Linked DNA regions of Arabidopsis thaliana. The protein of the gene in region 4 interacts with the protein of the main gene of each other region in a pairwise test. Each region holds a gene or a part of one and is shown on either strand. Other genes may lie near its edges. The genes, in order: PHE1, AT3G50650, AGL90 and AT4G36590.

What was found.
Region 1: the proteins of AT4G36590 (region 4) and PHE1 interact in a two-hybrid assay, tested with the Arabidopsis thaliana proteins (one large-scale study listed by BioGRID).
Region 2: the proteins of AT4G36590 (region 4) and AT3G50650 interact in a two-hybrid assay, tested with the Arabidopsis thaliana proteins (one large-scale study listed by BioGRID).
Region 3: the proteins of AT4G36590 (region 4) and AGL90 interact in a two-hybrid assay, tested with the Arabidopsis thaliana proteins (one large-scale study listed by BioGRID).

What each region holds. Positions count from the first base shown.
Region 1 is NC_003070.9:24,265,028-24,270,108, reverse strand, and holds PHE1 (MADS-box transcription factor family protein), read left to right. Parts: upstream 1-2,772; 5' UTR 2,773-2,788; coding exon 2,789-3,628; 3' UTR 3,629-3,852; downstream 3,853-5,081. Other genes in the region: CYP96A3 (cytochrome P450, family 96, subfamily A, polypeptide 3), read left to right, coding at 463-1,974. UniProt on the Arabidopsis thaliana protein: Probable transcription factor involved in the development of gametophytes and seeds.
Region 2 is NC_003074.8:18,804,986-18,811,187, forward strand, and holds AT3G50650 (GRAS family transcription factor), read right to left. Parts: upstream 3,259-6,202; 5' UTR 3,116-3,258; coding exon 1,487-3,115; 3' UTR 1,154-1,486; downstream 1-1,153. UniProt on the Arabidopsis thaliana protein: Probable transcription factor involved in plant development. Involved in environmental abiotic stress resistance. May increase the expression of stress-responsive genes. Binds DNA in vitro.
Region 3 is NC_003076.8:9,990,706-9,995,603, forward strand, and holds AGL90 (AGAMOUS-like 90), read right to left. Parts: upstream 2,066-4,898; coding exon 1,409-2,065; intron 1,286-1,408; coding exon 980-1,285; downstream 1-979. UniProt on the Arabidopsis thaliana protein: Probable transcription factor.
Region 4 is NC_003075.7:17,259,852-17,265,199, forward strand, and holds AT4G36590 (MADS-box transcription factor family protein), read right to left. Parts: upstream 2,377-5,348; 5' UTR 2,339-2,376; coding exon 2,006-2,338; intron 1,709-2,005; coding exon 1,295-1,708; 3' UTR 1,086-1,294; downstream 1-1,085. Other genes in the region: AT4G36580 (AAA-type ATPase family protein), read left to right, coding at 1-147, 279-810; AT4G36600 (Late embryogenesis abundant (LEA) protein), read left to right, coding at 3,797-4,029, 4,271-5,117.

The DNA.
Region 1 (5,081 bases), on a different chromosome or scaffold from region 4:
TAATGATTCACTTTCAATGAACCCAAATGTTTTTTAAAATCCGATAAAACTTTAAACCTAAGATATAAACTTTAGAAAAAGACTTATGAAATATAAACCCAAACTAACCCATAACACCACCTAAAATATTCTGATTAGAAAAAGACTTATGGGTGGGGACATCAATGTAAACTTTCATAATTTGCAGAAATCTTACAAAATTTACTCGAGGCATTTATTACAAAATATGGTTCCGCCTCTGCGCATACACTATACATAAAATTGGAAAAAAAAGTTTTAACGGATAATATGATTTAATGTCGTTACACATCCCAATGCAACGGATCGAAATAGAATGCATGTGTTTATTCATTTCATTTCGTATATGATATCGTAAGGGAGTTCATATACTCACTAACAAGACAAAACATTTCTTGACCAAAAGAAAAAAAAGATTTCTTGAATAAACATTTTGTTACTATAATGGCGATAGTCATAGGTTTACTTGAAATCTTCACAGCATTTGTTTTCTTCATTTTCTTCCAATGTTTATTACTCCACAAGAAAACTCCCAAGCCTTTGCTCACGAACTGGCCGGCCCTTGGGATGCTTCCGGGTCTACTCCTCCAAGTGCCTCGTATCTACGACTGGATCACCGAGGTTCTTGAGGCGACAGATATGACGTTTTGTTTCAAAGGTCCATGTCTTAGCGGAATGGACATCTTGCTTACTGTTGATCCGGTGAATATCCACTACATTCTAAGCTCAAATTTTGCTAACTACCCCAAAGGAATGGAGTTCAAGAAGATCTTCGAAGTCGTGGGTGATTCAATTTTCAACGTTGACTCGGGTTTGTGGGAGGATATGAGGAACTCGTCTCATGCCATTTTTAGTAATCAAGATTTCCAAATGTTCTGGGTGAGTACAAGTGTAAGAAAATTAAGGCAAGGGCTTGTTCCTATTCTTGAAAACGCAGCTGATAAAAATATCCTTGTCGACTTGCAAGATTTGTTCCAGAGATTCTTGTTTGATACATCTTTGATTTTGATGACCGGGTATGATCCAAAATGTTTATCCGTTGAAATGCCTAAGGTTGAGTTCGGTGACGCGGTCGATGGTGTTTCTGACGGGGTTTTCTATAGACATGTTAAGCCGGTTTTCTTGTGGAGGCTCCAATATTTGATTGGTGTAGGAGTAGAGAAAAGATTGAAAAGAGGTCTAGCGGTATTCGATCAACTACTCGAGAAGATCATAACGGCTAAACGAGAGGAGATCAATAGTCATGGGACTCATCATCCCTCAAGAGGAGAGGCCATAGACGTGTTGACATACTACATGACTATGGACACGACCAAATATAAGTACTTGGAACCAAGTGATGATAGATTCATCAAAGACACTATTTTGGGTTTCTTGATAGCGGCAAGAGATACAACAAGTTCAGCACTCACTTGGTTCTTCTGGCTTATGTCCAAGAACCCTGAGGCAATAAACAAGATCCGACAAGAGGTTAACAAGAAGATGCCGAGGTTTGATCCCGCAGATTTAGAAAAGCTCGTGTATCTACACGGTGCCGTGTGTGAGACGCTAAGGTTATACCCACCAGTTCCATTTAACCACAAGTCACCGGCAAAGCCAGACGTACTTCCAAGTGGGCATAGAGTAGATGAGAAATGGAAGATTGTCATATCTATGTATGCATTAGGGAGGATGAAATCTGTTTGGGGAGATGACGCAGAAGATTTCAGACCAGAGAGATGGATTTCAGACAGTGGAAGGTTAAAACATGAACCTTCATATAAGTTCTTGGCGTTTAACGCCGGTCCAAGAGCTTGCTTGGGGAAAAAGTTAACGTTCTTACAGATGAAGACAGTGGCTGCGGAAATCATACGAAACTATGACATCAAGGTCGTTGAAGGGCACAAAACCGAACCAGTTCCTTCTGTTCTTTTTCGTATGCAACATGGTCTCAAAGTTAATATCACTAGGATCTAGTGATAGTTTTTGTATTTTTTTTGCTGTTAAAGATTTCAATAAAACATGCATGTTTACTCATGCTTAGACTTATTTTGCAAACACGTCTTTAATTTGTATCAGTCATTTGCCTTATAAGAGTCTCTATTTCATAATAACATCACGGTTTTACAATAGCATGTGCTCACATTTTGTGGTCTTTAGAATCTGATGTTTAGTTACTAATATTTTTTTTGGCAGCTATGGTTTGTATTATTGGACCCTTCCCCACAGTTATAACACCCAAAATCGATAACACACATAATAGCATGTGTCTTAACGAAACAAAAAAAATAAAATAACATTACTTTCACTGTTTAGCCATAACATTACTTTCTATCCAACTGATATTACATGTATTTTAAATTATTTATTAATTATGTTTATATAAACTATTAACATATAGAAAAAATTTAGAGATTGAAGAAATATCTTAAATTACCTTTGATGTAATTTGTTTTCCTTTCAATGGACTTCCTAAATAAAGTATAAATCTCATTAGATATGTGATACAACTGTTTTCCTATATATCTTGTTTTTATATATGCCCCCCAAAAGGTAAAATATCTATATGGGCTGTCTCTAAAGATAAATGATTATCACTTTACCATCAATCACATGCCTACACGTAAGGGTGAAACTAATACAAATCCTGAAAAATTAGTAAAATAAAAAATCAATTAATCATATCCAGCAAAGCAATAAAAAATCTATTGACTCGAAAATTGACTATATAAACCATCCTCCTCATGCTAACAAGACAAAGCAAAATACACAAAAGAAAAAGATAAGAGATATGAGGGGGAAGATGAAGTTATCGTTCATAGAAAATGATTCAGTGAGGAAAACAACATTCACCAAAAGGAAGAAAGGGATGCTGAAGAAATTCAACGAGCTAGTAACTCTATGTGGTGTTGACGCATGTGCGGTCATCCGTAGCCCGTACAACTCGATCCAGGAGCCTTGGCCATCAAGGGAAGGCGTTGAAGAAGTGATGTCGAAGTTTATGGAGTTTTCGGTGTTGGACCGGACCAAGAAGATGGTGGATCAAGAGACGTTTTTACGTCAAAGGATCGCCAAAGAAACAGAACGTCTCCAGAAGCTACGTGATGAGAACCGTAATTCTCAGATTCGAGATTTAATGTTTGGTTGTCTCAAAGGAGAGGTGGACGTGTCTCATCTTCATGGAAGAGATCTTCTTGATTTGAATGTATTTCTTAACAAGTATCTCAATGGTGTTATTCGTAGGGTTGAGATCCTTAAGGAGAACGGTGAGTCTTCTTCATCTGTACCTCCTCCTATTGGTGTAGCTCCTACTGTTGTGGATGCATCTGTCCCAATCGGTTTTGATGGTCGTATGATTCAAGATCAAAACCAAAATCAGCAAGAGCCGGTTCAATTCCAATACCAGGCTCTTTATGATTTTTATGATCAGATTCCAAAGAAACTTCATGATTTTAACATGAAAATGAATATAGATCCAAATCAGAGTATGAATTTGGATCTTAATGATGGAGAGGACGAGGGCATTCCTTGCATGGACAACAACAACTACCACCCCGAAATCGATTGTCTCGCTACCGTCACCACTGCCCCCACTGATGTTTGTGCTCCTAACATCATCAATGATCTCTAGTCGAAGGGATGTATTTCGAGTGAAGTGGTTGATCATCTGCATCTTTTGATTTTTCCATTTCAGAAAATAAAATTTATGTGATGTTTTTTTTTATTATTGTACTACAGTTAAAGGTTTTGCCTTTAAGTTCATTTCCGTTGATGTATTTGCCTGAAAAGGTTTAGTTCAATTTGAATAATTTTAATCATTACAAAATAAAGAGTTTTCAGTATCTTTAGAAGAAACAAATCTTTAGATATGATGTCATTAAAAACCCTATAATATCTAAAATAGCTTTGATTAAGTCAACTTTCTTTGTTTTGCCTATATATATGCTATGGCTATGTCATGTTTTCGTCTTACTTATATTTGAACTAAAATGATTATGAATGTTATTGCCATATTTTTGTTGGATTCAAATGTTGATCACAAAAAAGAAAGGATTTCAATTTTGTGTACCATGCTATTTCAAGATGTTTCTAGCAAATTCTCAACTACGTAGTTTAGGTGACCACTTGTGAGACCTTTGCATACTTTGGCACACATAATTTTCTAATGCATACCTCATCTATGAGTCGAGAAGACGTCCCATGGGAATAAAAAAATCGAAGACAAAAGTACATATATAGTGCTGACCATTGTGGATCTCCTGATGTACATACTCAGCCGTAATTGGTTTTAACTTCAGTAGCTTCTGCCACGTTTTGGAACCTAGAGTAGAATCCTTACCATCCTAACAGATAATATATTGTCGGAACCGCCCATAATAAACCCCCACGAAGTTAGTAGTTTCCAAATTAAGCTTAAGCTAAACAACCGTGACACATGAATACGTTGGAAATGAAGCCCTCATTCCTTTTTAGGAATACACGCTTCTTTCAACATATTGGCACGCTTGTGGAAAAAAACATAGAATAGTAGAAAACCTAGCAAGATACGGCCATAAAAGAAATTAAGGAATCTTAAAAATCTCTTCTTTCACATTGTTTCCACACTTCCCCTGCTTTGTTGTTTCAGAATTGAGACACGTTGTACAAGATTTTTGGATCAAAAGACTCGCAAATATAGTTAAGTTTATTTATGACACCTAAATTCTAGTCCAACAAGAATTTGCGTGATCGCAAATTTTGATAAATTTGTGTGCTTGTATTATCTATTTTATCCAACGGAAAAAGATTCTTGATAAATAATATCTATCGTTTTCGAAAAACTTTGTTTTTCATCACTGAGTTTTTAACATCGAATGCATTAATTTCATGGAATGCTTTTTTATCCCAACATGATAGAATTGTAATTTATTACTTTGTCAAAGTTTTGGAACGTTAGACTTTGCCATTCATCCCAAGCAAGTGGGAGGGTGATATCTCGTTGGTGATCAAAAGGATCTTTTAAGGATTTCCAAAGTTCTTTAAGATCTCGCATGTGTGCATAGTCATATAATACACTTTTATCGAATTGTCTTTTAAGGAAGATT
Region 2 (6,202 bases), on a different chromosome or scaffold from region 4:
GTGATATGTCGACAAATATGGGCATAAAATGTTGTATTAATATCTATTTACATATGAGGTAACGTGCAGTCAAAGGACCAAGGTTGTCAATCATGTGCTTGGAAGTTCCATTGAACATTGTTTATCCCACACGTCGTCGTGATGCGACTCCGCTCATGAATGATTGGTCAAAAAAACAGTTTCATCTCATTATAGGAAAATATCAACGCATCATTGCTTGAACCTTTTTTCTTAGAGAAACCGGTAAACATTATTTCATGGCTTGCAATTTCATCGTCTAAGTTGAATTTCATATCATACATAGTCTGCTCGATATCCAAAGGTGTTAGTTTCCACCAATACTTTAGTTATTTGTAAATGAAACGATTTACTTTTAATTTTATGATGTATGTGAAGTTTAGAAGTTTCTAACTCAAAATCAATTAGTTATAAATGGATTGATCTATATATTACTTTATAGTCTATATCATTTTCGATTTCTAATTCAAAAGCACTTAAAATGAGTGGATTAGATCATTTTTTTTTTAATTTTTATTTCAGGTATCATCACACTTATAGATGTTGGATTCCTAACCATGATTTTCTAAAAAATGAAAAATCAAGCTGGCAAATTGTAAGCAATTAGCTGTGAAGAGTCAAGACTTGGTTGGGTTATTTGCAAAATACTTCTATGTATTGTTTTTGTTTGTGGCTAATATAAATAAAGGAATGGGACAGAGATTAGGCCTGTTTATTTTGGGCCAAGCATAAACAGAGTGGGCTTTTATCTTCGTTAGGGAAGTAAAATTTACTATCAGACTCACAGACAGAGTCAGAGTAGTGGCTGAGAGATATAGGAAATGGGGACCAAAAGACCACTGAAGAAGAAATTCGAGAGTTGACGTCATAGTGGCACGTTTGAAGTTCGAACAAAGAGAAACAAGACTGACACAGAAAGATTGAAATACTTGTCAGTGCGCCTTCGTATTTTTGGCTTTTACTTCACTGACAAATAATTATGCTCCTATTTTATTATTCAGTGAATGGTACAGAAAACATTGGTATATAATTTTCATGAAGTAAACAAAACTATATTAGGCAAGAAAAAGTGGAGACAAAATGATGAAAAGGGAGAAGAAATGGTGTGTTAGTGAAAGATCTTAGTGCAATTCAAATTTCAGTCTCTTTTATGGGACCATAATACTCTCATTTCAAAATCAAACTTCATCACCTCCTTTCCTCAATTTCAGGGGTTAATTCTAGTGTTTTTTTCATTCACATGAATTTGGTTTAGCTTCTTTCGTTTATACCAAAGAAATCTAGTCAAATGTTACATACAATATATATTACAAATGAACATAAACGACAAACCATCATCACTCCAAGCACTAGATAAAAAAGAGTAAGAGAATAGGCTAGAGACTAATTAAACATCCAAATCTAACCCCAAACAATTCAATTCTAAAAGCTAACTCAAAATACTAGATTAACTTATCGGACCAAGTAGTCAACGCCAAGAGGAAACGGTGAGGAGAGGCACATTGTTCCAAGCCAAGGAGATGAAACCTGGCTCCGATTCAACAAGTGAATACAATGTACTATAATTGTAGTTCCATAGTAGCAGCTTCGCTTGGCTAACCGCGTAATTACTCGGTTTAACCGGCTCAAATCCAGCTTTCTCCATCAACACTCTCCATTGTTCTTTCTCCTCCATTAACCCAAACCGGGTTCCCGGTTTATTATTATCATCATCTGATCGGACCAAATCCATAATCCTCCTACCGAACAACACTCTCTCCACTCTCAGCCTTTCTTTCGAATCTCGATCCAAATTCGGTTCAAGCGATTCAAAAACCGCGGAATAAAACCGGAGAGAGTTCTTAACCCGGTTAGCAAATTCAACCCGGTTTAAACTGACTTCGTATTCTCCAAGCGTCACAATCCTCGGGTTTAACGATCTAGCTAACCGGAGCGCCGTACCAACAGTCGTCGCTGTTTCATCTAGAAGCTTATAAAGCTCAAGCATAAAATTCACAACCAAAACCTCATCCGGGTCAACCCGAAAACTTGACCCGTTTAGTAATTGAATCGGAGTCAGAACCGGATAAAACTCGAAATTGAGATCCAAAATCGCCGCGAAATCACGGAGACGGTTTCCCGTAGCGATCAGAGACGGTCCCGGTGAGTCTCCTAGAGACGGAGCGGGTATACCCGAAATCCGGATCCGGGTGGGTTTACCAGAAGAACGGGTCGCTAAAGCTTGTAACAGAGCAGACCATTGAATACCTTGAAAAATCCCGAAATCGACTATGTGAATGTTGTTTGATTGATTCGTAGCTTCGAGAATTGCTTGATTCGCTGTTAAATGAGCGAACTTTGAATATGGACATGCGTCGTTTAAGGTTTTGTATGAGAGAATGAAATCTTCTAGGGATGACGACGACGATGACGACGGAGACTCTGTTTCTTTATGAGACAGAGCTTCTGCGAAGTAATACCCGACTCGTTGTATCGGGTCGCCTGATTCGGACACGGATTCTTTGATCCGAATTAGTGTGTCCGGTTTAGTTTCCGGTTTACGTGCATAATCGTGGATAGCTTTAAAAATCGGCTGGTTTAGATCAAAATCCGGCTGCGGCGGGGGAGGAGGAGGATGTTGTGGTGATGGCGGAGATGGAGACCATATAGCGGTGGAAGCTGGTGGCGGAGGGAGTTGTTGACTCGCTGAGTCATCTTTGTTGACTCGGTTGAGATATGAAGGAGCACTGAGTCGACTCGGGAATGAGACGAATGGATCATGGCCGTAGATTGGGAAGTCTGGATTGGTTTGTGACGCATCTCCACCGTTGATCAAACTCTCCATCCACTCGTCGGAGTCAAACTCCTCGGAAGCGACGGCTGCGTTTTGATGATGCTCCAGGTGTGGAAAGTGAAAACCTGGGTCGTTGGTTACTTGAAACGGGTCGGAGAAACCCGAACCGGGAAGAGTAAACCCGAAGGATGGATTGGGCCAGGGGTTGGGTTCTTGTTCTTGTTCTTCTTGTTGTTGATGTTGTGATTGTTGTTGCTGCTTCTGTTTGATGAGTTGTTGTGCTATAGCCATTAAGTTTCCGCTGTCGGTGCACATATACGCCATTCTCCGACTCACTTTCGCCGGCGATGAAGGCGTTTTTTTGTCTGTTATTTGGTGGTGATTGAGTAAGGCCCAGAGAGAGAGAGGGATATGAATGAAACCGGAGAGATTTTAGTAGGAAGAAAAAAGTAAGAAAGTGAGTATTTTCATTTTGATTTATCATTTTCTTTTTTTTTGTCATCCGATTTATCATTTTCGAGTACTGTATTTTTAATCAATTACCACTTTAGTTTAAAAGTACAAAATTACGTTATTAACTGCAAGAAATGAAGAAACTATAAAACCAACAACAACAACAAAAAATGAAGAAACTAACTAACATAGTTTACTAAAAAACTCAGTTTTGTATTTAATTATTTTCAAGAATTTAATAATAGAAATGTAATTTATCAAAATATCAATTGAATAATTTCTATATCTCATGAATTTGTAGTTTCGTATAATCTTACAAATTTATTCAGAAACCTTTTGACCAAAAAATAAAAAATACATAGGTTTTTTTTTGTTAAATAATTATTACCACTCTGTTAATATGGGTAAAAAAAAGAGTTGACGTTATGAAAAAAAAGAGAGAGTAAAACGATATCTCACTTATGGGACCCACAGACACGATGACGTCATGTATCGGCAGTTACGTATCGAAGAGTGTGACCTCATCTCCACCGTCTAGAATCAGATCAATGGCTTTGGCTGAAATGGTGAATGTGACACGTCGACAACTGTCTTCTGCTACTTGTCACCTGCATGTCGCCTGCAACTTTTCTGTCTTTTTTCATTTTAACTAACAGTATTATAAAGGTAAAAAGATTGATGTAAGAAAAGTAAAAAGAATTAGGTTATTATCTTCTGCTTTCAAGCCGCAAAGGTCAAGGTTTTTCAAAGCTGTTTCTTATCAACTAAAAGGGTCGTTAAATTGGACTTTGGTTAACAAATTTCAGTGACTTCATTGGTTTAGTTTCAGTTACTTTTGTAAAAAAACCTTTCGACAAGTTAAGCTAACATCTTGAATATGACTTGAGCAAGCAAAAATTAAACAATAGACATGTTTTATTTGTATACGCATGTCTTTTTTATCTCAACGTTAGTGTTGTGGAGGACGGCTTGTGGGTCCGTAAGTAGGCCCATATACAATGGAGCAAAAGCGATTTGTGGCGGGCTCTACTAGTATCTGTTGTTGGTGGACGAACTTTGACGAAGAAAATGTAGTAGCCATTAGCCAAAAGCTAAAAATTACACAAAAATACCAAAAAAAAAACACAAGCAAAGAAGAAACAAGAAAAGAGTCCAAAGAGGATTATAGAATTTAAAAGTCTTTCAATAACAAACCAAGTTTTATGAATTATCATTCATACACGACGCATAGTTCGAGAATTTGCTTATTTGAGGTTTGAGTGTGGAAGCTCTTTGTGACTTTGCAATTTCTAAAAACCTAAAGCGAATGAAATAGAAAAGAGCAATAGCGAACAAAAAGCACATGGGAACGACACTTGACTCTTTGAGACATCACTCTTTTCATTTCATCGTTGTATCCGCGTCAAAAGGCCTACTTCTCCACTACTTATAACTTAAATATCTAAATTACATTACTAAACATGGTATATGGTCCCTGGCCCAAGTCTACTTTTGATTTTCACTTTTGACATTTTTTACTACAAAGTGCCATGGACTGTTCTAAATTGGTAATGATTTCAACAAGGAGAATGAAGAAGATGATATTTTTGAAAAGGACTTGTCTTTGAAAATGGCAATCCCACTTTAGTGTTTAACCATTGCACCTATCTGCAAGTGGACTTGGAGAAAATAGATAGAGAGAGAGAGAGAATGAGTGGTGTATGAAAAGGACATGAGTAAGAATGAAAGGGTTTGATTTGTCTTTTCTTTCTATCCAAGTCATCGGTGGGGTTTCTTATGTATGAACAAAGAGTGGCATTGAGTCATCCCCAAGAAAGTCTCTCTATATATTTACCATTTTTGTCACATTCTTTGCTTTTTTTTTTAAATACTAATTTTTAGTTTCAACTCTTACCAACTAAAATTTACCTATTTTTGTCTCCTCCTTAGCTTTTTACACTTATTTTCGTTTGAACCTTTAATTAACCAAAATATATTTACTATTTGAATCAGTTAAACAGAAATTATTAAGTCAGTAAGAAAAATATATATTTGGTGACGATTATCTCATACAAAACAGAAAGAGACTTTTCAAATGACAAGTGGCCTGTCCAAACACTAAACTTTTGTACCTTTTATTGACCAGCTAACTCACTTTCTCATCCAAATTTTAGTTAGTTAAAACAAAAAAATCTCAATGCTTTTCCTCGTTTTCTGAATATTATTCGGCTAACCAGAAAAGAAAAAAAATACTTGCGGGCCAAACCACGAAAATCAATAAACAAGGGCTTTTGGTTGGTAAGTCTCGATTTCATCACCGAGGGTGTTCATGTGAATAAACCTATACTTCAAAATATCGAACCATTTCGTCTTTCCAATATCTGCAAAATTAGAGACAATCAATCAAATTCAAAGCCATATTGTTGTTAACAAAAGAGCAGTATGATGAACAATTGAACATCAATATAATTTATGAATTATCTAAATCTTCTCATTTGGATGATTTCAGATCAAGTAAAAACTTTATGGGCCGTAATTATCCAACAATATGATGGGCCGACCTAATCGAGGAACACGGGGACTAGTTGGCGTAATCAGCCTCCAAATATTTGGAGGCTTCTGTTTTTGTTTTATTTAATCATATTTTATTTCACTGTAAATAAATGGATAATACAGTGTGTTAATCAACCATATGTCTATCTGCACTGTTTTTTTTTTTCTTTTTTCTTGGCATTTTAATTAATTACAATTATATAATTTTTGGTAAAGTACAATTAGATAATTTAACGTGTCACCTGATTACGTATTTAAACCCTAACTCAACCACAGATTTTTTTTTATCACTCTCTAATTGTCTCGATCAATCCGTCAAAACCATGTATTACGAGGGAGAAGATTTCAGCGGTAAGATATCATTATCTATCTTTAGGGCCGATTGGTAACGACTGTTAATTTTGGTTGTAGAGACTTTCGCTGTAG
Region 3 (4,898 bases), on a different chromosome or scaffold from region 4:
GTGATTTACACAGATCTCTAATATTATCTATATAGTTATACATTTTTATTATAATTGAAAGACTAAAAACTACCCACACTTTTTTTCTTTTAAAAATGACTTAGGGTCTAACTGGTGCAAAATTTGGAAGAAAAAATTTTCTACCTCATTTTTTTGAGCCCAAAAGAATGGGAACAATGTTAAAAAAAAATCGACCTAGGCACTGATCGTTATAGGCTCAAGGCTTCTATCAAAATCCTAACTAGCGCCTAACAATTTTTTTAACATTGAATAAGAGTAGTTCTTTTTTATTTTATTTTGTTATCAAATTATTTTTTTCCAAAAGAAAAAAAGATTATTGTTGATTTTGCCATTTTTTCATAGAAATCTTTTGAAATTGTCATTTTTACTAAAATCTTATGGATATGCCATTTTCTAACATTAAAAAAAGTATGTATTTCCGATTTTTTTGGTAAAAATACGTAGTTTATATAAAATATTAAATCCTAAGAACAAGCACAACCGACTAAACCCAAACATAACGAATAAAACACATGTTAAATCATATTTTCGTAGTGTGAAAAAGGCAAAATCTACAAACTATTCAGAAAAGGGCAAAATCCACAGATACCATCCCAAAAAATGGTAAATCCATAATTGATTCAAAGAATAATATTTCTTACTTCAAATTGCTGGGGAAAACAATTATTCTCTACGTATGGGTCCTAAAAGAATTCAAATGAAAACTTTCGTCTAAATATTGTACCAATCACACATTAAATTTTCGAAATAAATTCCACAGTTAAAGTTTCCCACAATAATCTTTTTTTTTTGGGCAAAACATTACTTAATAATCAAAATACATAATTAAGTTAAAAAGAGACCCTTTAACCATTACAACCATTATTAATAAACAACATTAGTTTTTGTCTTTCGAAATGAAGAAAACACAAATTCAAACAACTGAACACTTAGACTAGAAAATCTCCGTCTTTTGTGATTAGAGATTGTTGTTGATGTAAGGATCATAAACATCGGTGGTTGAAGGCATGTAACTGGTGGAAGCAAGATCAACGGCTGGTAGTTGATTGTAGTTGTAGTAGTTTCTGTCCACGAAAGGAATGCTTTCACGCCCTCCAACATGATTCATATGTTGTTCCACCATCGGATTCATGAATGATTGTTGTTGATTCAGATACTGATTTGAATTCAGATTCAAATTCAGATTCAAATTTATGTTGTAGAATTCTCGTTGAATCTGATTAAACAGATTATTAGGAGCCTGGTATTGAACCTGATTCATATTCTGATTTTGATAAAAATCACAAACGTTAGTAGGAACAAGGTGTTGAAACGGTTCATGCAGATTTTGACTCATATTCATATTTTCATATTGAATATGATCAGAAAATCGACTGGGAGCAGTTACCGCATTTGCGTCCGCATCAAGAAAAGGAGTCATATCGCCCGCAAGAACATGAGGATTGGTAGCATTAGGAGTATCTACAACCCTAGTTGTAGAATGAATAGGAGAGTCGGAAAACGACTCATCACCAATTTCGTCAACACCAATTCTAGTAGGAAAAGGAGAGACGGAAGACAACAACGACTCACCGTTTTCTTTAATGGACTCGATCCTTCCGTTAAGCTGATCGAGATATAGATTCATACAAGATAGCAAATCTTGAAGGTCTTTTGCATCATAACGATACTGGGACATTTTGCCTTCAACACAATCAAACATAAATCGTCTAACCTGTAATTCTCGGTTCTCAGCAGCCAAATTCTTTAGTTGCTCTTTTGCTTTGGTAATCCTCTCCATAAGATGGGTTTCTTGATCCATCATCTTCCTGGTTCGGGCTGTCCGCGGCATCTCCAGAAACTTTGAAGCTACCTTTTTAGCACCTTCCCTTGACGGCCATGACTCTGGAACCGGTATGAATGGACTATAGATGAGAGCACAAGCTTGGACACCACATAGAGTTGACAACTCGTGGAGTTTCTTGAATATCCCGTTTTTCCTCTTCATGAAGGATGTTTTCCTTGATCTTTCATTAGCTATCAAAGATAGCTTTACCTTCTTCATCCCCATCAATATGTTTTTTTGTTTTGTTTTGTGTGGTTTGTTTAATTTGTTTACTCAAAGAATGTTTATATAGCAAAGAAAGATGATTTTATAGTCACTAGGATTCTTATCACTTTGGTGGACTCATTAATTCTAAATAACATCCAGGAAATCTCTTATCAATTAATTGACCAGGTAATTCATTATTATCTATATAAAAATATTTTTTCTTATCTAAAGTTTGGCTCGTCTGATCCTAAATAATATCTGATGACAAAAAAAAGAAAAAAATCTATCCATGTAATATGAGGGGGCATGTAATATAATATTTTTATTTCTAAGTTTTGTTTATACTAAGAATTAATTTCTCTTACTCTCATTGTTTTTTTTTACTAAGAATAATTTCTAGCTTACTTTGTTCTTAGAATGTGAAGTTTTGTAATAGTTTTAAGTGATTGTACTTTTAAAATACAGTAATATATTGTCAATGTATATAGAATTGTGGTAAGCTAGAAATTACTCTAAAGTTTGTTATCTAAAGTAAATTTCAGAAAGTTTGTTATCTACAGTAATTTAAAGATGTACTTTGAATCATACAAATAAATTTTTAGAATGGGCAAACAATTTGAAAATATGCAAAGAACATCTCACATAAACGCCAAAAACTTTGAATAATTGTTATGAATGCCCTTTCAACACTATCCTTTTCAATAATGCATTTTCTTATTTGTTATTTTCATTTATACTTTCTCTTAATTTTTAATGACCATTTTACCCCTATTTAGAAAATGTTTTAAGTAAAAAATGAAATATTAATTTTTTCCCGCCAAAAATATTCTGAAAATAAATTTTCCGCCAAAAGTTTCCGGCCAAAAAATTTTAAAAAAAACTTTTCTGCCAAAAAGGTTTCTTAAAAACATTTTTTCCGCAAAAAAAAATTATAAAGGATTTTAAGAGATTTTTGAAATGAGATTTTAAAGGGTTTTAAAAGATTTACAAGGGATTTTAAAAGATTTTTAAAAAAGGTGTAAAAGAGTTTTAAAAGATTAGGGATTTTAAGAGATTTTTATAAAGTGTAAAAGGTTTTTAAAAGATTTACAAAAGATTTTAAAATATTTTTAAAGGGTTTTAAAAGATTTACAAGTGATTTTAAAACATTTTAAAAAGGTTTTAAAAGATTTACAAGGGTTTTTAAAAGATTAAAAAAGATTTTTAAAAGAATTTTAAAATATTTTTAAAGAATTTTAAAATGGTTTAAAAATTATTAAAGGGTTTACAAGAAATTGAAAAGATTTTTAATGGTTTACAAGGGTTTTAAAGGACTTACAAGGGTTTTTAAAATATTTTGTAAGAGGTTCATAAGAGTTTTAAAATGGTTCAAAATTTATTAAGGGGTTTTAAAAGATTTTTAAATTGTTTACAAGGGTTTTAAAGGATTTACAAGGGTTTTTAAAAGATTTACAAATGTTTTTAAAATCCTTTTAAATCCTTTAAAAATTCTTGTAAATCTTTTAAAATCATTGTAAAAGGTTTTAAAATGTAAAACAAAGGTTTTAAAATGGGTTTTTAAGTATTTACATATATATTTAAAAACTTTATAAAGATTTTAATAGGTTTTAAAATGATTCACAAGGGTTTTTAACAAATTTACAAAGCTTTTAAAACACTTTATAAGGATTTTTAAATGCATGTTTTTAGCTGGAAAAAAATTTGTTACAGAGAAAAAACTTTGGCGGGAAAAAAAACTTTTAGCGGGAAAATTTCAGTTTATAAATTACTTGTTCTCATTAGATGAGAGTAATTTGGTATTTTTGCTCAAGAGAATGAGTATTTTTAAAAATGGACTACATATAAGGATAAAATCAAGAGTTTAATACATTAATATGACTACATGTATTTATTTATTTATTTATTAATAATGACATATAAAAAAATTATTTATGAAAATTATTTACATTTAGAAAATATATGCATAATTTGGGTAAAATCAAGAGTTTAATACAGTAATATGATTTTTGCTTTTTTTATTATTTTTTACATTCAAATGGATATTAATGCAGGTACACATGTATAAACATGATTGGATATAAAATTATAATTTATAAAATCATGTGGATATTATACCTTTTGGGGCATTGACCAGATATTATATATTTTTTATTGCACTTTTAGAAATAAATTTTACCAGCTAATAATGAAGAGTAATTTAGCTGGCATTACCATATTTTTTTATCTTATTTATATCCCTAAAATAAATAGCTTTATGTAGACATGAGAGAATTGGTAAGAAAATATGATCCAATTATAGCTTTGGAACCCACATTTAAGAATTTTAGACTGCTTTTATTAGTTATCAAGATAAAAACATACAATTTCAATAATATAATATCTTAGCTTGTAGAAAAGTTTTGGTAGAGGTTTGTTATCTGCTTCAAAAGAGATTTATGTAAATGTCAAATTGAAAACTATTTGAAAGAACGAATTTTGTTTTTTAAGCGTTGCGATTTTTGCGAAACCAATTTTAGATGTATTAAATAAATAATTTAGAAGTACATATATGAATTTTTGGTGTTTTCTTAACTTATTAACAAACAATTATTTGTTCTAAAATAATTAAGATTGTGAATAGTGACCCAGAAAACTATTATAAGAAATATAATTAAATTCTTTACTTTAATATGATGATTATTAGGCTATTATGACTTTATAAGTAACGTTATAGAGTTGATAAAATGATAATGAAGACAATATTTTTGACTTTGAGCGTTATGATGTTTGTATTTTGAGTTATTATAGATATACTATACAATGTACTATTATGTGTTTGATTTTGTTGTTAAAACAATATTTTTAA
Region 4 (5,348 bases):
TCTGGATTATGCTATGATGACAGGAGGTGATGTTGCTCCCTTGGGATCACAAGCTGTTACTAAAATCCATCAGATATTTGATTGGGCTAAGAAATCGAACAAAGGCTTACTTCTTTTCATTGATGAAGCCGATGCTTTTCTATGCGAGTAAGATCTCCTTCTCTTCTTTACAAGGATTAGTGGATGTTTTAGCGTTTTAGGTTTTTGACAGTAATATGACAAAAAGATTGCAACTTTTTCTCTTGGTTTCAAGAAAGATGATTCCTTTTTCTTTGCAGGCGTAACAGCACTTACATGAGTGAGGCTCAACGTAGTGCTCTGAACGCTTTGCTCTTCCGAACTGGTGATCAATCTCGGGACATTGTTCTTGTCTTGGCTACAAACAGACGTGGAGATCTCGATAGTGCGGTTACAGACAGGATTGATGAAGTCATTGAGTTCCCACTTCCAGGGGAAGAAGAACGTTTCAAGCTTCTCAATCTCTATCTCAACAAATATCTAAAGATGGGTGATAACAACGAAGACACAAAACCGAAATGGAGTCATTTGTTTAAGAAGCTGTCACAGAAGATTACCGTTGAAGAAGACTTAACTGATAAAGTGATTTCTGAGGCTGCAAAGAAGACAGAAGGATTCTCTGGCCGTGAGATTGCAAAGCTTGTGGCTGGAGTACAAGCTGGAGTGTACGGACGAGCGGATTGTGTTTTGGATTCACAGCTTTTTAAAGAGATTGTTGAATATAAGGTTGAAGAACATCACCGAAGGCATATGCTTGCTTCTGAAGGTTTTCAGCCATTACTCTTCTCTTAGTCATTTGGATTTTGATTATACATGTCATTTACTTGATCAGAAAGAAGAATCTGATTGTTTTAAAATGAGTCCTAAAATTGAATTTTTAGATTAAACATGTTAAAGAGTTTTACAGAATCTTGAAGTCTTACATATGAACACTTCTCGTTGTTAACATTAGATTCATTTCTGTCTGATGAGGGTTTCTTAAAAAATTGTTTTGTTCATTTGTAAATCTGGTTTGATTTCAGTATATAACATTAAGCTTAAATAGCAAAATAAAAATAAAAATATAAGTAAAATTAAAGGATAAATAAATTTATTCTGGATACAAAAATATCCAAAAACAAAGGAAAACAAACGACGAATAAAATGAAAAACCAACCAACTGAAACAAATTAAAAGAAAAAACAAACTTAAGTCTCACAATACAAGAACAATCCTAACAGTAACCATAGCCAAAATAACGCAAATATTGATTAGGATGTTCTTCTAGCTTCAGACTCTAGCTCTGGTTGAAGTTGTAACTTGACATGTAGTTCATGTTGGATATCGGAACGAGAACTCCATCATTGTTGTATCCAAACATTGGTGGTGTATGATTGGGAAACACCATGTTTGGATTATAGTTGAATGCATTTCTTCTTTGATCAAAAAGATCAATGCCAACATTACCACCACCAATCACGCCAGAACTTTGACCAAAGTAATTCTGCGAAACATTTACTTGAGAATATTGAGACATTTCTCTTACCAGTTTCTTTTTCACATCTTGAAGAGCAGATATCAGCTGGTTGGTTTCATTCATGTCGAGATCTTTCACATCTTTTTCATACCAGTTTCCTACTTGTTCTCTGGATTCTTTCAATAGGTCCAAAACCATTCTCTTCTGTTTCTCCTTTTCCTGGTTTGCCAGCACCTGCAATGAGATTCATTTCATCATGTTGTGAAAAAAACGAGATATGGTTTATATATTTGAACATTTTGAAGAAAACAATCTAACTATGGATACCATTTGATATCTTTAACAATCTAACTATGGATACGATTTGAAAACAATCTAACTATTGATGGTCTCTTTTTCCCTTAACAAATTAAGTTATAGACATAGAATTGGCATATATATATATATATATATATATATATATATATATATATATATATATATATATATATATAATTCTCTTGCATTTTTCTTTAAAACAAAATTGTTTACCTCAGTGAGTATATTGTTGAGATATTGGATATTTCTATCCGGACGGGTTTCAACAAGTTGGAGATTGTTGTTCTGATGATGGACAATGGCAGAATTATGGTTAGGATTCGAAAAGCGATGAATGAGTTCTTGAACACTTGGATGGCCAAAAGAAAACACTTTCCCACCAGGAGAGAACACAATCAACAGAATCTCTGCACCACTTAATGTGCAAAGTTCACTAGCTTTTTTGAAAAGACCGAATCTTCTTTTTGAGAAAGTAACCTGAAGGTTGCTTTCGTTTTCCATTTTTTTCATCTCTATTTTCTGACGACCTTTGGTACTTCTCACCATTTTCTCAAAAATTTGAATAAACAAATGACAAATTTGATGCTAAGAAATAAAATATGTTCTTTATATTTATACAGGTGTATTACATATGGAAATGTAATACATTATAGGTCCATTATAAGTAAACATAATCCTTCAACCCTTAATTTTGCCAAAAAATTAATTTTCCAATTTGAGGAATATTTCATAATTATCTCTGAAATTTCTTAAGGACATAATTATCTCTAAAATTTCTTAAGGATATAAAATTCATGATATTTCAAATGCAATATCATTATATTAGTTGGTAAATGCATAACAGTTTGACAAATGTATGCACCAACTGCCCATGAGAGGCACATTAAAATTTTATGAGCTGTTTGTTAAAATACTTAATCTATATTTTTGGGAAAAATCTTGAACAAAATTATCCATTAAATTATTTGTTTGTATACAGCTAATGCAAGTAATATTTATACAGTAAAACAAAATTTATCTATTTTTGAGATATCACAATCATTACTAGATAAAATATACAGTTGTACTTTACATAATAAAAAAAATTATTAAATGAAATTCAAAAGATTTTGAGTTATGGGCCCAAATTTTTTTAATTTAGATATATACCATTTACTAGATATATTTTTCATAATGATAGTGAGTTATGTTTATTGAAATTAACATTTCTAAGATATAAATAAAATGATTTATACTCAAATATTGTTGATTTTTAACTATCTTTGTTCTTAAATAAAATGTTTGAATATTACAATAATCATTATTGATTCTTATAAATATTTTAAATTATTTTATATAATTGATTTTTTGTGAAAGTTTACACTATCTGACTTATCTTATTAGAAAACTTTGTAATTGTATCGTCAAAACGTTTAAAATTGGTGTCTTCTTCACCTCTCTCACTTTCGGTTGGGCTCATGCTGGGTTTCTTGTTGGGCTTAGTTTTGTTTTTTTATGGTTTAAATCAATTTTCTTGGTTGAACCAAAAAAAAAACAGTTTTCTTTAAAAATGAGATGACAAAAAAAAAACATTGGATTAACTAAGAAAGGTAAAAAAATAAACACTTTCTGATTTACCTTTTTACTGGATTATCCGGTTTGTAACCCTGCTAAGCGCATGGCTTCGGTTTTCTAAACCGGTTATTTTAATCTTTCCAAGTATTGAAACTTCCTCTACGCGACCGGCCACGTGACCTCGGGTCGGGAGACACTAACCCTACAAAATCGAACCACAAGTGGACACGTCGCAAGCACTTCCAGCATAACCGCCTCTTTAATTGCCACGTAAACATCGAATAACCACGTAATCATCGAATAACCACGTGTCTTACAATAACCGCTTATCTAGTGAAAGAAAGGAATGTGATCTCTCCCTCTCTCGCTCATCTATAACTAGAAACTTCCTCCATGAAGATTGGAACCAAGAAACAAAACAAAAAATCGGAATTTTAAAGAATAGGAATAATGGAGAGAAGAACGTTGATGATGATTATGATGCTTACGACGGTGGTGACGCTGACGTGGCAGAAGCAATGCTATGGATGGGGAACGGAGACAGCAGAGGATATGGTTAGAAACGAAGCAGAGCATGCTAAAAACGCAGCCGAGACCGCTAAGAAAATGGCGTCCGATGCGGCTCATGACACAAAGGACAAAACCGCCTCTTGGGCTGGTTGGGTTTCCGACAAAATTTCCACGTAAGCGTTAACTTTTGTTTAGGCATGATCATACTTCTATTTTGGATCTGTGTTGGTTTCTTCTAATGGAACCATCTTCTCATAGTGTTTGATTTCAAATTGTAAACGTAGATCTGAGTTTTGTTTTAAGAGAAATTTGAAATGTATATATATAAACGCATGTTACGCATCATTTGCATTTCAAACTGTGAAGTGATTTAAGAATGATAATATATAGATGATTGATCCAATATTGTAACAGAGGATTGGGAGGCAAGAAAGCTGAGGCAGAAGAAGCGGCTGAATCTGCGAAGAACTACGCTTATGACAAGGCTGGATCCGCCTATGACAATGCGGGTTACGCCAAGGACTTTGCATCAGACAAAGCCGGATCTGCTTACGATAGTGCTCATAACGCAAAACATTATGCTTATGATAAGGCTGGTGATGCAAAAGACATGGCCTACGATAAGACCGGTCAAGCCAAGTACATGGCTTACGACAAAGCAGGATCAGCCTACGAAAAGGCCGGTCAAGCCAAGGACATGGCCTACGACAAGGCGGGTCAAGCTAAAGACATGGCCTACGACAAGGTGGGATCAGCCTACGACAAGGCGGGTCAAGCCAAGGACATGGCCTACGACAAAGCAGGATCAGCATCTGAGAAGGCTGGTCAAGCCAAAGACTTTGCCTATGACAAGGCAGCTCACGCAAAAGACGCTGCCTATAACAAAGCAGAGGATGTGATTAAGATGGCTACGGATACGAGTGGTGAAGCTAAAGATAGTGCGTATGGAACATACGAAAGATTCAAAGAAGGATCTAAGAATGCTAAAGACATTGCATCGGATAAAGCTCACGATGTTAGAGAAACCGCAGGGCGAGCGGTGGACTATGCTAAAGACAAAGCAAATGATGCATACGAATCGGGGAGCGAAGCAGCCGGAAGATTCGACGAGGCAATGCATAAGGTTGGGGAGAGGTATGGTGCAGCTAAGGATTCTATGTCGGAGAACACAAAAGAAGCTTATGAGAGTGCAAAGGAGAAGGCTTCTGATGCTGCTGGTGAGTACGGTTCATATATGAGAGACCGTAGCGCTGAGCTTTAGAACTGAAAAAATTATAACGTATAGCCGTATAGGGTAAGTTTGCATTTAGATTTCAAATCTTCGTTTGTACAATAAATTTCTTATATATATGTGTATATCAGCAGTATATGTATATGTAAGAATGGTGGAGTTGCTTGTATTAGTTGCAAAATCAGATTCTCAATGAAAGGCGAGTTGTTTCTTTACTCTCGATCTATCAACATGGTAGATCATCTTCTTTTGTGTTTTGTT